Drosophila melanogaster: one gene and its partners. Changing the gene in region 1 together with any one later gene gives a genetic interaction. Each region holds a gene or a part of one and is shown in the gene's direction. Other genes may lie near its edges. The genes, in order: Rbf, rpr, CycD and mam.

Region 1 (6,565 bases):
CCTCACGCGTTGCTTAGCCGGCGAGACAAGTTCATGGACATTTGCCAGAAACAAGTAATGACGAGTCAGGGCTGCTTGGCGTCAGAGGGAACACCAATCCCCGCCGACCTGGAGGTCACTTGGCAGAGTCATAGCATCATTGACTGCCTTGCTCTCCGCAAGGTGCGTGCAGAGATGAATTTAGCTGATCAGAAGGCGGCCAAGAATCTTGTGGATCGCGTTGAGGTGCACCACAAGACTTTGCAGACGGAGGAGGCGGAGCGAAGGAAATTGATTATTGACAAGGCAAATTCTGCGAGGAACTTGACTATTGACAAGGCAAACTCTGCGAGGATCTTGGCTATTGACAAGGCAACCTCCGCTAGGAAATTGACTATTGACAACTCAACCTCCGCGGGGACATTGACTATAGACAAGGCAACCAACGCGAGGAAATTGACTATTGACAAGGGAACCTCCGCGAGGAAATTGACTATTGACAAGGCAACCTCCGCGAGGAAATTGACTATTGACAAGGCAACCTCCGCGAGGAAAATGACTATTGACAAGGCAAAATCCACGAGGAACTTGACCATTGACAATGCAACCTCCGCGAGGAAATTGACTATTGAGAAGGCAACCTCCGCGAGGAAAATGACTATTGACAAGGCAAAATCCACGAGGAACTTGACCATTGACAATGCAACCTCCGCGAGGAAATTGACTATTGAGAAGGCAACCTCCGCGAGACGTTTCTCTAGACCAAAAAGATATGTCAGCGGGTATATTTCCAAAAGAAAATCGATCGGAAAAACGGAGTCTTTGTCGCGCGGTGCATACATCCCCGATCCTGAGCTCAACCGCGCGATAGCCAAGTACGGTGTGTCTGCTAGTCAACCGTTCAAAAGACAGCATTGCCTTGTGCTGGAGAAGCATCCCGACAGAACCCAGATCCCGAACTCCAGAACCAACACCAGTGGCTGTAAGTCCGACGGCTCTTCAACACCCATTTGGAGAAGTGCTAGAACTGGTGCGGATCAGAATACGCAGGCAGAGAGTTCTGACTCTTTCAATTCCTCCAATTCCTTCGAGAGCTCCAGTCTGGCCAGCGATTCTCAAGAAAACCACGAGCTGTCCACGGCGGCAGGTCTGACGGCGGCCTTTATGCGGCGACACATGCTATTCCACCTCCTGGCCAGGAGGTTCAGAAGACGGTATCTACGTTAGCCACGTCGTAGCTCGGGTCGTATGTGCTGCGACAGCAAGTTCTCTAAATTGTATAGTGTATATGTATGTATGTTAGTAGCTGAATCGCGAAGAATTCCCGCGAATTTCCATAAAGTTCAAAGCAGTATTTAAATTTGCGGCTATCGATTACAACTAGCTATATCGCCGATGTGCAATGCTCTTGAACGCTAACCAACACTGTCAGTTTACCGCACACATGCAAATAGCATTGTGCATTGCAAATAAATTATATGTGTACACATATTTTTGTCAATTATTTCGTTCTAATTCATTTTAGGGTCCCCCAATTTAGGTATGTATGCAACACGACATACTGCTTGCAGTCACTGCATAACTCGCCAAGCACTGTAGTAATACCACCCCACCACGTTTAAACTGGCCGAATGCGCGCGTCGGTGTGACCGCATGGCTTTGCTGGCGAAATACCGGCCGCCCAACTAAAAATCCATTAACTTGTATTAACGTGTCAGACTCTGACTATGCAATCGCAATTGCAAAATCTTTAAGTAGTGGCAATAAATTAGTTTTCCTTCTGCACAAGTCCATCCCTAGGGCCACATCGTCCGCGCAGCCCTAGAAGTGGATAGTTCGAACGCGGAGTGGATCACACGCACCTGCCCGCCGCAACTAGTCAAGTTTCCCGCGTTTTCCATGGCGATTAAGTTGTGAAATAGTTATTTTGTTAATGTGTTTTAACCAACAACCGTGGCCGTGGTGTGGTCCTGGCTAATCGCAGCATCCCAGCGCTGTTTGTTCTGTCCCCTCGCCTGCTCTTTTGTTGTGTTCCTCAGAAAAGGGTGTATCGCGAACACACACACACGCGACAAACACTCGCACACAAACACACACGCCCAAATCATTTCGGCGGGAAACTTCATTATTTCTGTAATTAAGTGTAAGCTCTCGCAGTTACATGTCCGCGAGGAGCGCGGCGGCAAGCGCAGCATACACCGGCAGCCACTAGGCGCCAGGCCACTAGACGTAAACAGCGGCGCCAGGCCCGCAACGCCCCGGTTAGCCGGCTAGCTCCAATTCAGGCGCCTCCGTCTCCGATTTCCGACTCCAGGCTGTCGCCAGAAGCAGCGGCCGCCGCTGCAAGCATACGCAATCAGCCGGGACAGAGACATCATTCGCAGACATGAGCGAGCCTGACCCGCAGGAACTGGGAGCTGAGGTGGTCAGCGGATTGGTGGCGACCAGCGACGACCGCCTGGAGATGATCAACGCCGAGTACACGAACCTATGCCGGGATCTAAACATGGATCGGCAGACAGAGCTGCAGGGCTACGAGACGTACTTAGAGGTGTCCCAGAGGTGCTCCATGGAGGTGAGCTTCGAAGTGGCAGCAGTAGCCTCCAACCTAACGTCCTTTCTTTCATTCTTTCTGTGCATTGCCTGCCTAAAAGGGCACAGCCAGCCACTGGATGTGCTGCGCCATTTACACGGCCTGCCGAAGAACCAGCACACCCACGGTGACTGGCCAGAATGCAGTGGTCAAGGGTAATTGTGTGTCCTTAAACAATTTGCTGCGCTGCTGCAAGATGAGGTGGGTTGCCGTTTATGCCTGCAGTTTCACACCTAACCATTTCCACAATCCCCACCCACAGCATCTACGAGTTCAAGACCAAAATTAAGCAGTGGTGCGACATGGCCAACCTGCCTCAGGAGTTTGTCAACGAGATTGAGGATCTGGACCGCAAGTTCAGCATTACATTCATGCTGCACAAGCGTTTCCGCATTATTATGGACATGATCTTCTCGTGCCCGCCCAACGAGAAGAAGCACTCCAAGTACATGTGCGTATATCATCATGTCAGCCTGACCCCGTGTATATAAAAAGCTTCCCTCTTTGGAACAGTTCTCTGCATGGCAACCACGCCCACGGAAAGTGCTCGTACATCAAGCTGGACGACATCTGCTGGCGCCTGTTTCTCTGCGCCAAGAACCAGAAGCCGAGCAACACCGTGGACCTGGTGACATCCTACAATCTGATGATTTGCTGCATAGACCTGATATACAACAATGTGCTGGCCGAGAAGCGCACCGATCTCATCAACCCCAAATTCGAGGGCCTGCCGAGCAACTGGACGGAGCTGGACTTTCGTCACAATCCGCACTGCATTTTGTCCAACTTCTGTGACATGACCGAGGAGGCTAAAGCCATGAAGGCCACCACTTTCCGCCAGATCATGTCGAGCTTCTTTCAGGCTTCGGTAGGAGTGCCGTTTCGGATTTCCATTAAAACAATTAATTTGTTCTATTTTCATTTCGACCAGACCATCTACGGCAACAAGGACACTATGTTAGGCCTATTGGCTAACGAAAACTTCGAGCGCAACCTAAAGTCCCTCAACATCAGCTACGAGCAGTACGTCCTCAGCGTCGGCGAATTCGACGAACGCATTCTGAGTGCCTACGATGCGGGGGAACACACTGCCCTCAACGACCAGTCCCTGCGTCCGCCGGTTACTCCGCTTACCCGCAAGCAAGATCTGCCTGCGCAGCCCGCGATGGCTGGCGATAAATTTGAGCCCGTCCGCAACGCCACTAACAACGTGAAGCAGCTGAGCGCCTTCGGACGGATCACAGAACCCACGGACTTTGTCAAGTGAGTTGCCGGCTGGCCTTGTATTTGGGTTGGGTGTCGAGTGTTCCTAACTATCATTCAAAACCTGTGAGAGAGAAAAGGCTTATCTCTATGTCCAAATGGCTGAAAGTCGTTGGCGTCGTGTAAACAAAACTCATGTTTATTTGATTGCTTTATAAATCGTAGGAAATATCGAATATCGAATTTCGTTAGCCGAAGCACACATCCATAGAAATTTCTGTTGATGTAAGAAGAATCGATTAGATTAAATCCGGGATTGATTTCTATAGCTCATGTTTTGATATCGCCCTGTCTTTATCCAGGCAAGCTGGCGAAGAGGTAATAGCCAAGCTGCTTAGCATCATCGAGGAGATCGAGCAGAAATTCCTCGCCAAGTACCCGTCAACGGAGGCGAAGAGTCGCTTCCAACTAGCGAAGTCCTTCTTCTTCTACCTGCTCGACCAGATCCTGCAGGCGGAAATTCGGAACAAGCCCGACATCGATCTCAAGCGACTGCTGGTGCAGAAGGTCTCCCTGGTCATCTTTAACATCACGCTGATGGCCTGCTGCGTGGAGCTGGTGCTGGAGGCCTACAAAACGGAGCTCAAGTTCCCGTGGGTGCTCGACTGTTTCAGTATTAGCGCGTTCGAGTTCCAAAAGATCATCGAGATCGTGGTGCGGCACGGCTCGCACGAAGGCTGTTTGAACCGGTCGCTGATAAAGCACCTTAACTCCATCGAGGAGACGTGTCTGGAGCGGCTGGCCTGGGCGAGGAACTCGACCGTCTGGGAAATGATCGCCTCCGCCCAACTGCCGTTGCCCACGTGGCTCATGGTTAACCTCGACCGCGCCGCCGGCCCCTTGCAGATATTCCTGCGCAAGGTGTACCTGCTTGGCTGGTTGCGCATCCAGAAGCTGTGCTCGGAGCTGTCACTGTGCGAGAAGACGCCCGAGAGCATCTGGCACATCTTTGAGCACTCGATCACCCACGAGACGGAATTGATGAAGGACCGCCACCTCGATCAAAATATTATGTGTGCAATATATATCTACATAAGAGTGAGTAGCACATCCACATTCTATCTCTGTCCGATTCGCTGGCATACATTTTGAAATGCACATAATCAGATGCATTCGTCCGTGTGCAGCTGAAGACCCACTTATAACATCCATGCAACTCCTTACAACCCGCAGGTAAAGCGAATGGAGGACCCCAAGTTCAGTGACATTATGCGGGCATATCGCAACCAGCCGCAGGCGGTGAACAGCGTCTACCGCGAGGTGTTCATCGACATCAACGAGGACGGGGAGCCAAAGGTGAAGGACATCATTCACTTTTACAACCACACTTACGTGCCGCTGATGCGGCAGTTCGTCATCGACTACCTAAACGTAACTCCGGACGTGAGTGGCCGGGCTTCGGATCTACAGCTCTCCCCGCATCCGAAGGAACGGGCCGCCCAGCCCAAGAAGGTAACCCAGAGCCACTCGCTGTTCGTGTCGCAGATGTCCAAGAACGAGATACAGCAGTCGCCCAACCAGATGGTCTACAGTTTTTGCCGCAGCCCCGCCAAGGTAAATATTTCGGAGTTGCGTCCACCTCCTCAGCTATAACATCGATTAATCCGCTTGCTATACCCGCAGGACCTTCAGGCTATGAACGAAAAGGTACGCGGCGGCAAGCGCATGCTGAGCTTTGGCGACGAGCCCGGACTAGGTACAATGGCAGAGACGAAGCGCTCGAAAATCAGCCAGGTCAAGGCCGTCATGGACGACCCTGAACTGCAGTCAGCCGAGCAGCAGACTGCTGTTACCACGGAAGGTTGCGTAGGGGGCGAAGGAGGAGAACACGAGACATAGACACGGGGCTTATGGGGGCAGACTAGACTTAAGGCAAGAACTAAAAATTCGGCGCAGAAGGCCACACACTGGCCCCTCCGGCGCACGTTCGACTATTTTATGATTGTTTTTTTTTAAATATTAAAACTTAAATTGACATTTTAACTTAATTTCAACAAACTATTTTAGCACATCTTTTAATTTTGCTCAACGCCAGCCAACCATATAATTCATATGCTAACCCAATACTTTGAAATAGTTGTACTAAATACTTGATCACCACACACACACACATCCATCGGTCGCGACTCCCCGCGATTTAAAAATCACTAACAAAAAAACAAATCAAATTAATGCAATCCACATTATATATAAAAGCTTATATACAAATATACTTTTTACAAATTGATGTTAATTGTATTTATTTAAACATTTTCGTAGTCGATCTACGTCGTCGTACAAAGGATGGGATGTTTAAAATCGTAATTTCTCTGGTCGAAATTGCCACCTTTACAAGTTTCAGGCACCAGGCGAACAGAAACAGTAACAGGTGCTAGCTGGCCGCTCAAATTAACTAAAACAGCTGATCCTTTTCAAGATGGCTGCGCCTTACGCTTTTCCAGTCAGCCCATTCGACCAATAGGAAGCCAAAGATGGGGAGAAACCGTTAGTTACTTTATGATGTCTGCCCTATGTGGCAATTTTTGTTTGCCTGGTGTTCAGCCACTGAGAATTCACAAATTTTTGACAAAATTTACGACGGGGCAACATTTTTCGCAGACAACTGTCGGGTCCCAGACACTAGGCCAACAGAATCCCTAGCAAGCTGCAGCTGGCAGCCCTTTCGATCTTTCCAGTTACCAATTGACCAATAGGAAAGCAGCACAACCGTTAATTCGGAACAGAGCGCAC
Region 2 (3,054 bases), on another chromosome or scaffold:
GATTCGGCTGTTTGCCTGTGTGTGGGTACGGTATTACGGTACTACGGCTTTGTGGGTGGAGTTTGAATGGAACTTAAAACTCATCGCGGTTCTTTGGGTGGGGTAAAAGATTTTAGAATTATGCAGGTGGAGTTTCAAGAGCTAATTTTCTATTACATATATATATGAAATTTATTTAAACATCATAACGAAATTAAGAACAAAACAATAGTATGTTTATGGGTAATCCGACTTAGATACGATGAAAAATGATGAAATATGTATTTACGTCATTAAAGAGAAAGTTTCAGTTGAGATTTAAAATGTAAACGACCTATATATAATAATGCAGAATATATATTATTAAAGATAATTTCAATAAGCTTCCTATATGTTGGAAGAATACATTGTTCGGATATCATATCCATCAGGAAGGCAATTAATAATACTTTAAGCCGCAGGGAAATTTTCGTGTATGATTTCCAACGAAAACATTCATATCGTATCATATCATATCCGTCTGGTTCCGCTCTAATGAAAATGAATAAAATTGCACACGAAATATAATGGGACGAGCCCATTGTTGTCAATATACTGTATATGGCCTTTAATTTATGACATTGTCATAATTCTTAGTCGGAAGCTTCGGATGATTGTGTAAACACTTGTAGAGCGCGAGATACTGATAAAGAGGGATCTATCTAGATATGGCAGGTGGGCTGGTCCATGGAAAAGAGAGAAAATAATTCAAGAAATGGAACGGAACTCTTCCTTGCCCACTTGCCCATATTTCAAGTGAATCCGCCTCCCACTTGTTATAATACCCTTACAAGAAGCTATTCTGCTTAATTATGTAAATAGTTTGTACTTTAAATGTTGTACTATTAATAGCATCAATGTGTCCAACCTAAAAAATATTGGTTTTATTTTTCCATCATTTTTAGTTGGAATTTTCTTATTAATTACAATTCAAGAATTTAATCATATTATAGAAAATATACTGGCGGTAATAGCTAAAAGGACTTTTTGCTGATTGACATAGATGAAAATAAATATTTTTAATATTTAAGAAATGAAATTCGAAGGATTAATATGAAACCGGCTAGATGGTTGTACTTGGCTGTTATCAGGTATCCGGCTTAGTTTAGTTGCTAATCACTAATGGGTAGCTAGTGTAAATAATGTTAATCTTAGAGGGTATTCCAAACTTTAGTCGTGAAGCAACTCTTGTATGTCTTTCTCTGTCGAACTCCTTGATGAGAAACGATTGTCATGCCCCGACGATTTAATACAATTAATATGCTAACTGTACTTCTCGCCGCACACAGTTACAACAAAGGCGCTGCCACCAACCTGGCAACAACAACACAACCTCATACAAAAACACGCTTGGCAACAGGCGCAAGGTGGCCCCGCCCCCGCTCACGATGAAAAGTAGTACTTTTTTGGGAGCTGCGAATGAGACGATGTCAACAGAAATACCAAAACAAAAAAACCCCAGCCAGAGAGCCGAAGAGCGAAGAAGGCCAAAATGAGCAGCCACCACCAGAAAAACAGAGAACAAGGCGGCGTGAGAGAACCAGGTATAAATAGCCTCGGAGCACTACTCAATATATTCAGTTGAAAAGCAACCATCGCAGCGAACGCATCTCGAAAAAATCATTGAATAAGAGAGACACCAGAACAAAGTGAACGAACTCGAAAATACGAAAGAAAAGTGTGTGCGCCAGCAACAAAGAACTAACTCGATAAATATTCATTGTGCAGAAGAGAAAGTTATTGAGTCACTACCAGTTGTGTAATTCCGAACGAGAAGAAAGATAAACCAACAATGGCAGTGGCATTCTACATACCCGATCAGGCGACTCTGTTGCGGGAGGCGGAGCAGAAGGAGCAGCAGATCCTTCGCTTGCGGGAGTCACAGTGGAGATTCCTGGCCACCGTCGTCCTGGAAACCCTGCGCCAGTACACTTCATGTCATCCGAAGACCGGAAGAAAGTCCGGCAAATATCGCAAGCCATCGCAATGAGGATTCGAGTAACTAACAAATACGGGGAAAACCAATAGTCCAGTCCAAAATCCAGAGTACAAAGGAAATAAGCATGAGCCAACCCAAAACCCAAACACAGTCACCACTCATCAGCCGACGGCACTCGATTTCTACTGCAGTCAAGGACACAGAGCCACAACACCCACCCAATTTTAGTTTACTCATCAAAGCGATTGTGATAATGGTTTTGTTTCTACAAAAAAGCGGAGGAAAAATTTGAAAAAATAACGTTTTTATAAAGTCCCCAATTTTTTACAAAAATGTTTCAATGATATAAATCAACTTTTTTAGAAATAATTTACTCTTAAAGCCTATTTAAATGAATTACTACTGTAATAGTTTGTAAGTTCTTTTGTAAGACGAGTTTTTCTAAGTTTTTTTTAAGAAGAAACCCCAGAAAAAAACGAAGATGAGTCGAAGTTGGCTAAAAATTGCATCAATTTTTTGTCAAACAAAAAGTCAATAAAACAAAAACAAAAACTAAAAAAATTGTTGGTTTTTCATTTACTTAAATATTTTCAGATTACCATTTATAAGATTTAGATACAAAAAGCGAAGAAAGCCTAAGATGATGTCTCGAAAAACTGAGTTTGGAACAAGCACATTTTTTATTTCATTTCGCCGACGGTAAAAGGAACTTTCTAGAAGGCTGTTTAATAATCAGTGAAATTATCGGTGGTTGTGAAAATTATTTTACATGTGTTTGGTTAGGAAACGTTAAAGATTTTTTTTTGTTTTGAAAAAGTTTTTCATTTGATTTCCGGCGTTCGGTGACAGAGTCCGCTTTGAAATATATCTTAATAAAATATTAAGATTGATATTGCCGGAAATAATAATAATAATAATAATTATAATAATAATAATAATTTAGTTATAATAATATTAATGCAAGCTAATTTCTTGAATTATTGTAGAACGAATATAATTATAAATCGGTATTACATATAATAGAATCTTAACCACATTATTTTTAGTTTTGATATAAACTATTTGTTGTAGAAAGTTAAACCACGTTTTTATTAGTC
Region 3 (5,286 bases), about 15 Mb from region 1:
GTAGGTGTCACTCAATAGATTTTACTCTATTCATCTTATTTGTAAGCACTTGGTTACTTCTGGTCTTTGTTATTTACTTATTGTGTCACTGGGTTTTTTATGATTTACATAAATGTTTATTGTAAGTTAATAAATTTAAATGCCTGGCTTGTACGTCCTCAACATTTTTCACATTACGCTGTCTCACTAAACAGAAGGTTTATTGTGACTTTGTAGGTCCAGGACCGACTCCGTGAATGGATCAAATATCATGCGGCACGGCATTCATGGCACTACTTCATTCAATGTATATCCTATTATAAAGTTGCGTGGGCTTGGCACTGCGTTTGGCATTTCCAGAATGTGGTATAAAGGTGTTTATAACGTCCTGCGAAGTCCCCTCGCAAATGAATGCGATATTTGGGACTTTGTTGGCATTTATGTATGTATGTCATGAGCACCACACACGCGAACATATGCATATTAAACACAGTATTATTAAACAAAAAGAACCTCCTGAAACTTTGACACTTTTCGATTCCAATTAGCAAGTGGCGGGCGAGAACAATTGAATCAGCTAATTGTTCCACACACATTTGTGTGGGTAATTTACGTGAATGAAAAATTATTTTCGTACAGCACGTCTCTTGTCTTCTTCGGGAATATAACGAATATAAAATTTCAGGGGATTACAGCATCCCTCTGACGGAAAGCGAAGTCGGCGGACGCGAGTGTTCCACTCAACTCTCGTGTGCTGTTTCAAAGTTTTCTCTGAATCCTTAAGCTTTTTCTGGGAAGCGAGCTTTTGTCTGTGTGCCGAGAGTGAGGGTAAATTAATTTGCAACAACTAAGTTAGCAAAATGCGAACCCAATTAAGGATTGTATCATTGAAAGCATTCTCCACGCTGCAGTTTTTCCTAAAAAACAACAAAAAACTGCAGCACCGAAATTAGGACAATGGACATGGAAGTCCATTTTAATCTCGATGTGTACATATATCGGTACATCATTTCTCGGAAGGGATCCACAGGTTACTTTTGTTTATCATTAACCTGGCATTCCTAAGTCGCGAAAGCTTTTTACCCTTTTATCAATATCTTATTAATTATTAAACAAAGCAGCAAAGATTATATCTTTTTTTTACAATTGCTTTTAGAATTTTTTTAGTGAAATTATTTTAGGTTTCTTACATGTCTTACTGTTTGTCATCTAAAACTGTTTAAGTACAACCCTAAAGAAAATAACAGCAGTTCAATGCTTTTTGTAAGCGGTACAGGATCTTTAAGTGCAGCATTCATTTATTTACGACTCTTTCGAACAACCTGCCATTTAATCAACAGGTTCCGGCCATTTAAACGGAATTTAATAAGGGTGTTTTGATCACGATTCAACCTAGTAGGGTGATGCCAGTGAGTTTTGCATTACTGACCATTTTGTCGTGGACCACGATCGTTAAATGTATGACATGCCGAAAGATCGACTGTCAGTACCATCCTTACATGAATGCAGGGTGGCAACGCCCTAGCATATTTTAGTATTTTTGATTTTGCTGGAGTAATTGGAACACTTGAGTGATGTGAAATTCACATCAAGAGTAAGTTCGTAAGATCGTATAACAAAAAGCTTATTTAAGAAAAAAAGTAGTGCAATTAGAAGAACTTTGTTTTTATTATAAGGGTAAGACCCTTTTATAGTCCATCAAACCCATTGATGGATTATAAGTTTTTAATGTTCTAATAACAACCCTAAGTGAAACATATTTCACAAGCAACAAGTTGGAAACGCAATGAGGAGGTTCCCCTTTTCAACGTATTTCGCTTGCCTTTCATTGCAAAGGATAGTACTATACTAATAACCGATGAAGATCGATATGTTTTACTGATCGCAGTGAGCAAGAGATATAACTCCGATGACGGCATGCTGAACTAGTTTTTTTCTGCCATAAGGTGTAACTATCTGGTTCACATAAATGCTTTGTCCACGCCGGTTAAGTGGCAAACGTGTGCAACTTCGAGTATACTTTTTTAATAGTTAATTTACATTACTCCATGAAGTGCTGTGCCGTTTGTATATAACCAGAATTCCGAGAATAGGCGTAAGTGAAAACTTTTGTTCTCGAGCTGATCGTACATAGCCATGCATGTACATGTACATAAGTACATAGTGTGAAATGAACGAGTTATTTCTGAGCAGGTCGAAAAAATATGTAAATAATGTAATGTGCATATGAATAAGTCAAGGTATTAGGGTTATATGCTATACTCTAGTGCTCCCACAGGACTAAACACATATGCCCGCAGTGTGCCCATACTTGAGCAAATACTTGAATTAAATGTGAAAAGAAGGTTGCAACATACATATGTATGTATGTACTTATGTACGATCATTTCCTATTGTACGCAGTGTTCCCATATCGGAGTTACCCAAAGTTCCTGATAAATCGGCACACATAAATGGCTTGAGAGTGCGGCGATCCATAGAATCCATAGCTTTAAACGGAACGTATGGCCGATATAATGGATCTTTTATGCTCGGAAATCATAGTCTACGAATCAGATCCATCATTGTATCGTTTGAACAAACGACAGCAGCAAATGTCCTCACCGGCGATCATTCGGGATCAATCATCGATATGTTCATCCTTGGGGGACGCGGAATCCGATTCCCATCCGGATGCCCAGAACAATGCCGTAGTGTGCAATATGAAGGAGCTGGTGTATATATACGCGTCCGTGGACTCGGCTGCGAAAAATCCAGAACAATTGGAGCCGCCTCCGCCACCTCCACCACCGCCGCCACCACCACCGACAGCGACCCAATCAATCCAAAGTTATCCGCGTTACATCAGCCAGGAGCCACCGACGTCACATTGCCAACGACTCGACGAACGCCTGACCACAACAGCCGATCCACCCGCAACCGACAACGTGAACACTGCCATCGGGGATCCCACATTGTATTCGGATCGGTGTCTGGAGAATTTCCTCAAGGTCGAGGAGAAGCACCACAAAATTCCCGACACGTACTTTAGCATCCAGAAGGATATTACGCCACCGATGCGCAAAATTGTCGCCGAATGGATGATGGAAGTGAGTAATTAAACGAAATGTAGATACAGCATCCAAATCATATCAAGCTAGCCGACTGTGATATACGCATTATTTATAATCTGTTAGAAAATATTACCAAATAGATGGAAGTTTCCAAGAACTTCATTAATTAGTGTTTGTTTTAGTAGTCCTTATCGCACACCCATTACAATATTTTGACTACCCTTTTCGTTCATTAATTGAATACATGTTCACAGGTGTGTGCCGAGGAAAATTGCCAGGAAGAGGTCGTATTACTGGCATTAAATTACATGGATCGATTTCTTTCGAGCAAATCAGTACGCAAGACCCAGCTACAAATTTTGGCCGCAGCTTGCCTCTTACTGGCTTCAAAGCTCCGTGAACCCAGCTGTCGTGCTCTTTCGGTGGATCTACTCGTTGTTTACACGGACAACAGCATCTACAAGGATGATTTGATTGTAAGTACCTTTCTCGTAATACAATACCTTTCGGTGAACATGCGGTTTCATTTCATTCCCAAGAAATGGGAGCTGTATGTGCTAAGTCGCTTGGGCTGGGACCTCTCATCTGTGACTCCCTTGGACTTCCTTGAGCTTCTGATGATGCGCCTGCCGATAGGCAGCAAAAACTTTCCGGACATAAACATTGGCAAAGTGCGGGGACATGCTCAGGCATTTATATCGTTGGCAGCAAAAGGTAAGCCATATACAAAACAGTCCAACTTAAGTACTGACTTCCCACCCCTTCCTTTGAAGAACATAAGTTTGCCAAGTTCTCGGCCAGCACCATAGCTGCATCGAGCATAGCTGCGTCAATGAATGGCCTAAAGTGGCATCTGCGATCGGGACACAATCTACACTTCCTTTTGAGTCTGATGACCGATCTAACCAGCGTGGAGCAAGTGAGTATGGCAAGGGAGCAGTGTTGTTATGTACCACCACTCAATTGATTTTAAATGCACAGGCTCAGGTGCGAGATTGTATGCTGCACATGGAGGACATCTTTAAGGAGCACAGTCGGAATCTAGAGCCATTTCTAGTGAATATTGACCCAAAAGAAATGTCAACATTATACTACAAGAGGCGCTTCCAAATACATCAATCGCAGCATCTCTCGCAAATCTCAATTAGACCCTTGCCGCTACCGAAAGCTCCTGCCGAGTGCGTGGAGCAACACCAGCAGCAGCACAACTTTGGGTCCGCAGCGCCACATCGGACGCACACGTGCAAGATGCAGGCGCAGGCTCAGGCTCAAAACGAGATACAAGACGTTACATTTTGAGGTGTCAAATGATAGTTATGCATACATGATAGTTATGTCAGGCTTAAGTTGAAATTATATATAGGATCCAAATAGTCCGATCACTATAGGATTGGCCAATATCACACTATTTACATTTGAATCGATGTATTTTATATGTACGCAACTATTTTTTACCAAACTATGGGTTATTATTTTTAGCTATCCTAAATATTTTGTATAAAATAGTTTTAAATAATCATCATGAAACTTTGAAATGGATGAAACATAAAAACGAGACTGATTGTAAGCAGCAAAGCAACATTTTTTTTTTGTATATAAGCTTTTCGAAATCCTACACAGATAACCAAAAAAGAACGAACTATTAAATGCAATTTTTTTAAAAACCATCCAACATAAAGAGAAAAACAATATGTTAAAGTTAACTTTGGATAACAATTATATAAGTTGGCAAATAAATGATAGAAAAAAGCAATTTCTTCTCTGCCCTCTATGATGTATGTATATTTTCGTATAATTTACTTTCAGATAAATCGCATTAGCTTACCAAACGAATCCAAGTAGTTAAAGGCAATGCGAATAATTTAATTTTTCTTTATTTTCTTATTAACAAACGTCTATAAACAAGAATCGTTAAAGACCATAACCTTAACACACACATAATATTTATCATTGAATAGGTTTTTGTATAATTTCTTGCGGACATTGCGTTGCTAAATAATATTTGTTCGCATATAATTCATTGCTCTGAGGATAGTTTAGTTCATACAAGTTTTTAGAGTGAGTACATAGTTCGATTTTTTTTTTACCATCAATGTAGAAGCATTGTAACACTGCAATTAACGATTTTCCTTTTAGATATTTCTTCGGTTTTTGTTTTGAGCTTTAAAAAAATACTGGCTTTATTGCATTCCTGCACTCGTCCGCCTCCTGCACTGCGATTCGAAATATCATATATGTACGGATATATGTAATA
Region 4 (4,863 bases), on another chromosome or scaffold:
ATTCGGAGGTAGACGCCAGCATTGTTGTTTATCGATTGCTGGATGTCGAGCAGCTTATTCCAGGCCACCATACGCACGCGATCCGGTATGCCCTTGTAGACGCGCTTGTGCAGCTTATCCTGGGGCGGCGGCCACTGATTTAGCATCTTCATCCACTTTTTGTCCCGCTCCATTTCAATCTTGTTGCGATGCACCTCCTGGGCATCACGCGTCGACGGCAGCCGCGAGTCGTGCAAGAAGCCATATCTGTGGGAGCATCAATGGCATTATTGGGATTTTTTCTGGCGAATGATTAATATTACTCACTTGTCTGTCCTGTGGTAGATCTCGAAGGTGGGATTCTCCCAGGAGTCCACCACATTGCTGGGATCCAGCCCGAGTTCGTAGCGCCGGAAGATGTCCTCGCGCTCGTCCTCGGCCCGCTTGACCAGCGCCTCCTGCTGTTCGCCGTCAGTCATTTGGAGCAGGATCAGGATTTGGCGGGTGGGGGAGGGGATCGGGGACAGGAGCAGGAGCCGGATCCGGAGGAGCAAGTGGCCAGAGCTGGTTTCTCTGTGCTCTCAGTTGGGGAGCGGCTGCTTCTGAGCTGACTGGGCGATAGCGCGAAACTTTGATAAAAAAAAAATGGAATGGAAAAAATAACACACAAAAGCATTAACATGCGAAAGCGATCCACAATAACAACACTCGTATACTATATAGCTGATGAGCGAATGACGCACACGAACATTAACTATTGTATATATATATATATATATTCAAATGCAGTGAAATCAACATGATCTTTGTTTTTGGAGAAGGAGCGTGGCATAAATGACGTGATGTTTCACCCATATTTAGTGCAGCATCAAAACATAAAGCCATATAAGACTTGGTCACTGATCTAGAAAAACGCCCCCTGATCTGCGTTGTGTGAGTGTGAGTGGGCCAGAAATGTGTGGATCTGCATGCGCCCCCGGGTTTTTGTCGCCTATTTTAATGCGAAATGTGCAATCTTATGCTTTATCGTTCGTACACTTCCTGTTTTCGCTGCGATTTGTTGTATTTTGTCAACACAGACACATACGCACACACGTAACACACACACACACAGACGCTCCGACGAAAGAGAGTGTTCTGGCTTTCACTGGCCACTCTCTCCGCGTTCCTATGGTTGAGTTTAATTAATCGCGCCGACGTTCGTTTACCATTTAATTTTGAATTGCCAATTCTTATTATCCGCACTGATCGGTTATGTTTGGTAACTAGTTTTTCACTATTTTATCTCGGCTGCATGTTTCCGATACATTTGGGGGGCGACTGAGTGTGTGTGAGGGCCAGAGTTGCCAGACTGATGTAATTGCCGAATAACGTAACGTAACAAGAGTACCAGGGATGCGAGCCAATATTTAAGCGATACTTTAGCGTAATGTTATACGAGTTTAAATTTTAGTTGAAATGTTTGTGATGTCAATGTACAAATATGTAAAATGTTTATCTATTTAAAGCTGCAAATGAATGCTCATTTATAAATATTTAACAATGATATTTATTTACTTATTATTTAAAACCTATTCAGTTACTTAATTGCGACAAGTGGCACTTAATGAATTAAAACATTTGTGGAAAACATTTTCACTTCAAAATTTATTTCTTGATAACAAAATCGGCTTTTTAATTCAAATATAATTTTTGTGACTAAATAAGCAGTGCTGCCATACATTCAACTGGAAAACATCGTCAGCAACAGAAGGATAAGTAATCGCTTGATCGATAGCGTTATCGATGTTTTCCCAGCCATCGTTCCACCACTAGCGCCTCTCAAAACAACAAAAAAACAGCGGCAGTCGGACGCGGTTTTTATCATCGAGCGCGGTTTCTTTGTTTTAGCGCTCGAAAATTGTCGAGAACTCTCGTAAAAAATACACTGTACCAAATAACTAAGGAGTGCATGCTAATTGAACAAGCAAATGAATTAAGGTGTATATCAAAGTGAAAAGAAGTCAAACATAACCGATTTTGTTGGCGGCTTTCTTTTATTTTTGTTGAGATACCGTGTTTAATTTCTCCAGTTTTATGCAAACACATGAATAACATAACAGTGGAAATTTCTAAGAGTGCATTGTGAGATAAAAGTAAGCAAATAATTAATATTATGTTTAACATAAAATGCAACCCTCAACAGCGTCCTTTTTAAAGGTGTGCGTTTATATATATATATATATATATATATATATATATATATGTGTGTTTGTGTGTGCGTGTGAGTGATTGTGGATTTTGTGATGCAAAAGAAAATTGCCGCGTGTAAATTTTTGATTTTCAATTCGAGACGAGCAGAGGATTTTTAAACTGCAGCTCTAGCATTTACCGTTAGGGCAAGAGTAAACACATTCAACATGTTGCAGTCACTAAAAACTAAAACAAAAGCAAAGCGGATCACTCTCTTTCTCATTCTCTCATTCGCTCTCTTTGAGTTATAAGTGTTTTTGCCGTGTTTTGTTTTGATTTTTGCACATACACGAAGACATCGAGAGAGGAGAGCGGAGAGTTTCTGCTCTTTTGATTGTTGTTGCATTGGCCAGCTAATAAAATTGTGCCGTTCTTGTTGTTGTTGCAGTTGGATTAAAATTCAAAGCATTGGATAAATGCTAAGTTGAAATAACAACAGTAATAACAAATGGAAAATAGCAAATAGCAAATCAAAGGAAATCAAAATCAAGTTGGATTATCAGCACAGCTTCTGGGTAAGTAAGTTAAGTCTCTTATCGCCTAATTAGTTTATAGCGTTTTAGTTTCGTGTGGGTGGCTTTTTGCATTTCAAAACCAGTTCTATTTCGGGTTTTCATATGCCTTTTTTTCTCTTCTCATGTTGATAAGACCTTGAAGCGCTTTTCGTGTAGAACTTCGCATGATTGATGTTTTTATGTTTGAGGGGAGCTTGAGTCAAAGCTCGGCTTTTAAAAATGGATCAAGACCAGTTTTTCGAGGCTTTGGAATTGCCAAATAATTTCCTAAGCCCAAACTGCAGTTTGTTGTGGTTGTTGCTATTGCTTTTGCTTGCATCGCCTAGAAAATGATGGATGCACACACCTCTCGCTCTACCCTTGCCGTCCCTTTCGCACATCCAGAAGTTGTCGGTTGAGTTTTTATGGCCGTCTCTTTTGTCTCTCCATTTATTTGCCTTTGTCTTTGGACTGATGACTTTGTTTTTGCCCTGTCTTTGATTCTTTCTTTCTCTCTCTCTGCTTCTTCTTCAACGTTGATCCTTTGATTTCGTTTGATCCTTGTAGGTAGAAAAGATTGAGTGTGGGAGAGATCTACCGTTGTTTCGTTACTTCAATCTATAAGATACTAGAATTTTCTTTTTTAAAACCAATTCGAGAAATATTTCAATATATATTTTTGGGGAAAGAAGAATTTTAATTCTTTCGAATATTAAAGAGTTTTTTAAGATTGATTTATAAATTTCTTTTGGATCTTATTATTTGTATTTTGTATACGAAACATTCCATCTTATATTATTATCGTTAGTTTTTTGTAACTCCAAAAATCAAAATAAATATTCAAATAAAGAATTCTGTATTGCCTTTTGTTTTAATGCCATTATGCAATATATGCATTTATTGCTTAAATATTTTTAAAATTATTAACAGCATTCAGCTTATGTCTTTTGAACATTCTCCTTACCAATATCAGATGCATTCCAACCGAAATGCGACGAAGGGCATGCATTTAAACACAATACCTGGCATACTCGACATTTTAAATGCTTTTCATCACTTGATAAACAGTATTATTTGCCTTTCCTTTTTTTTTTTTTACATACATGTATCTCCCTCTGTTCGCCGCCGTTTGTTTTGCCCCCGTCTTCGCATATGTACGTCTTCGAGTGGTCTAACATGTAATGTATGCCTCGTCTTTAGTTTCTTGTTCGTTTCGTCTTTGAGACACCGGAAGTTGTTGCTAGGCTGAAAAAGTTGTGTGTGTTTTTCAGCAGTGTCTCCAGCTGTATCTTTATCTCCCTCTGGAGCCGTATATCCATCTCTATCGACGAGCAAGTGGCGCGTGTGAATGACCCAATTAAGCTGAAGATAACCCGGCCTAAGCTTCGACTTCGTAGGTGGCTTAAAACAACTCGGTTGGCCAAGAAGAAGCAGCCCCAGAACCTGCCAGACGAACATACCTACTATGGCACAACAAAAAAGAGTTCACATCGAATATATCGAATGCGAAGTTTGAACTGTAAACAGGTTTACTTGGCCTCACCTCGCTTCGTCTGCTGCAGTTGGCTGCTACAGGTTTGCCTCCGTATCGCGAACTGCGCGCCATGGAATTTCCTGTATTCATTCATTTTTGAATCCATATAACATAAGCCTTATTTCACTTAAGTTAAAAAACTACAATAAGAAGAAAATAAATGCATACCATTTCAATCTTAAAATTCTTGAAATAAAAAAAATTTCATTCCGGGTGTGAATTTGTGGATTTGATTAAATAAAAAATAACTGTAGTATATATATGTTGATGTTGAAATTTTTAAAAGCTCCTCCATTACTTTCTCCATTTAAGAAACAGGGTAATGTTTTTCTAAGGTCAGCTTATGCAAAGAATAACATATGCAGTAATCCCAGTTTAAGTTATCAACATTTCACTGTACATGGTTTAGTGTGGTGCTTTATTTTGTCAGGCCAAACTCCTTTTCAACATTTTTGTATTAAATATTTCGCACCATGTTCTGCATTTATTCGGATACGAGAGATCTCCCGAGGCTCCAGTCTTCAACTCCATCTCCTTCTGTGCGTCTGCCATCTCTGTTCGACGCTCTAATGCCGTCCTTTTCTGTGGCATATTTTGTCGTTGAGTCAGTTGGGGTCAATGCTG

What was found.
Region 2: of Rbf (region 1) and rpr, changing one suppresses a phenotype caused by changing the other (phenotypic suppression), as found in Drosophila melanogaster (one study listed by BioGRID).
Region 3: of Rbf (region 1) and CycD, changing one suppresses a phenotype caused by changing the other (phenotypic suppression), as found in Drosophila melanogaster (3 studies listed by BioGRID).
Region 4: of Rbf (region 1) and mam, changing one enhances a phenotype caused by changing the other (phenotypic enhancement), as found in Drosophila melanogaster (one study listed by BioGRID).

The regions. Positions count from the first base shown.
Region 1 is NC_004354.4:796,586-803,150, reverse strand, and holds Rbf (Retinoblastoma-family protein), read left to right. Parts: upstream 1-1,671; 5' UTR 1,672-2,365; coding exon 2,366-2,554; intron 2,555-2,633; coding exon 2,634-2,773; intron 2,774-2,834; coding exon 2,835-3,023; intron 3,024-3,085; coding exon 3,086-3,440; intron 3,441-3,503; coding exon 3,504-3,835; intron 3,836-4,137; coding exon 4,138-4,873; intron 4,874-5,008; coding exon 5,009-5,389; intron 5,390-5,458; coding exon 5,459-5,674; 3' UTR 5,675-6,061; downstream 6,062-6,565. Other genes in the region: CG13359 (uncharacterized protein), read left to right, coding at 1-1,206.
Region 2 is NT_037436.4:18,396,992-18,400,045, reverse strand, and holds rpr (reaper), read left to right. Parts: upstream 1-1,610; 5' UTR 1,611-1,810; coding exon 1,811-2,008; 3' UTR 2,009-2,511; downstream 2,512-3,054. UniProt on the Drosophila melanogaster protein: Activator of apoptosis, as well as grim and hid, that acts on the effector Dredd.
Region 3 is NC_004354.4:15,906,319-15,911,604, reverse strand, and holds CycD (cyclin D), read left to right. Parts: upstream 1-1,928; 5' UTR 1,929-2,495; coding exon 2,496-3,068; intron 3,069-3,286; coding exon 3,287-3,508; intron 3,509-3,571; coding exon 3,572-3,746; intron 3,747-3,805; coding exon 3,806-3,951; intron 3,952-4,013; coding exon 4,014-4,331; 3' UTR 4,332-4,783; downstream 4,784-5,286.
Region 4 is NT_033778.4:13,989,379-13,994,241, forward strand, and holds the start of mam (mastermind), read left to right. Parts: upstream 1-1,824; 5' UTR 1,825-2,114; intron 2,115-2,599; 5' UTR 2,600-2,726; intron 2,727-4,863. Other genes in the region: RN-tre (uncharacterized protein), read right to left, coding at 1-246, 307-458.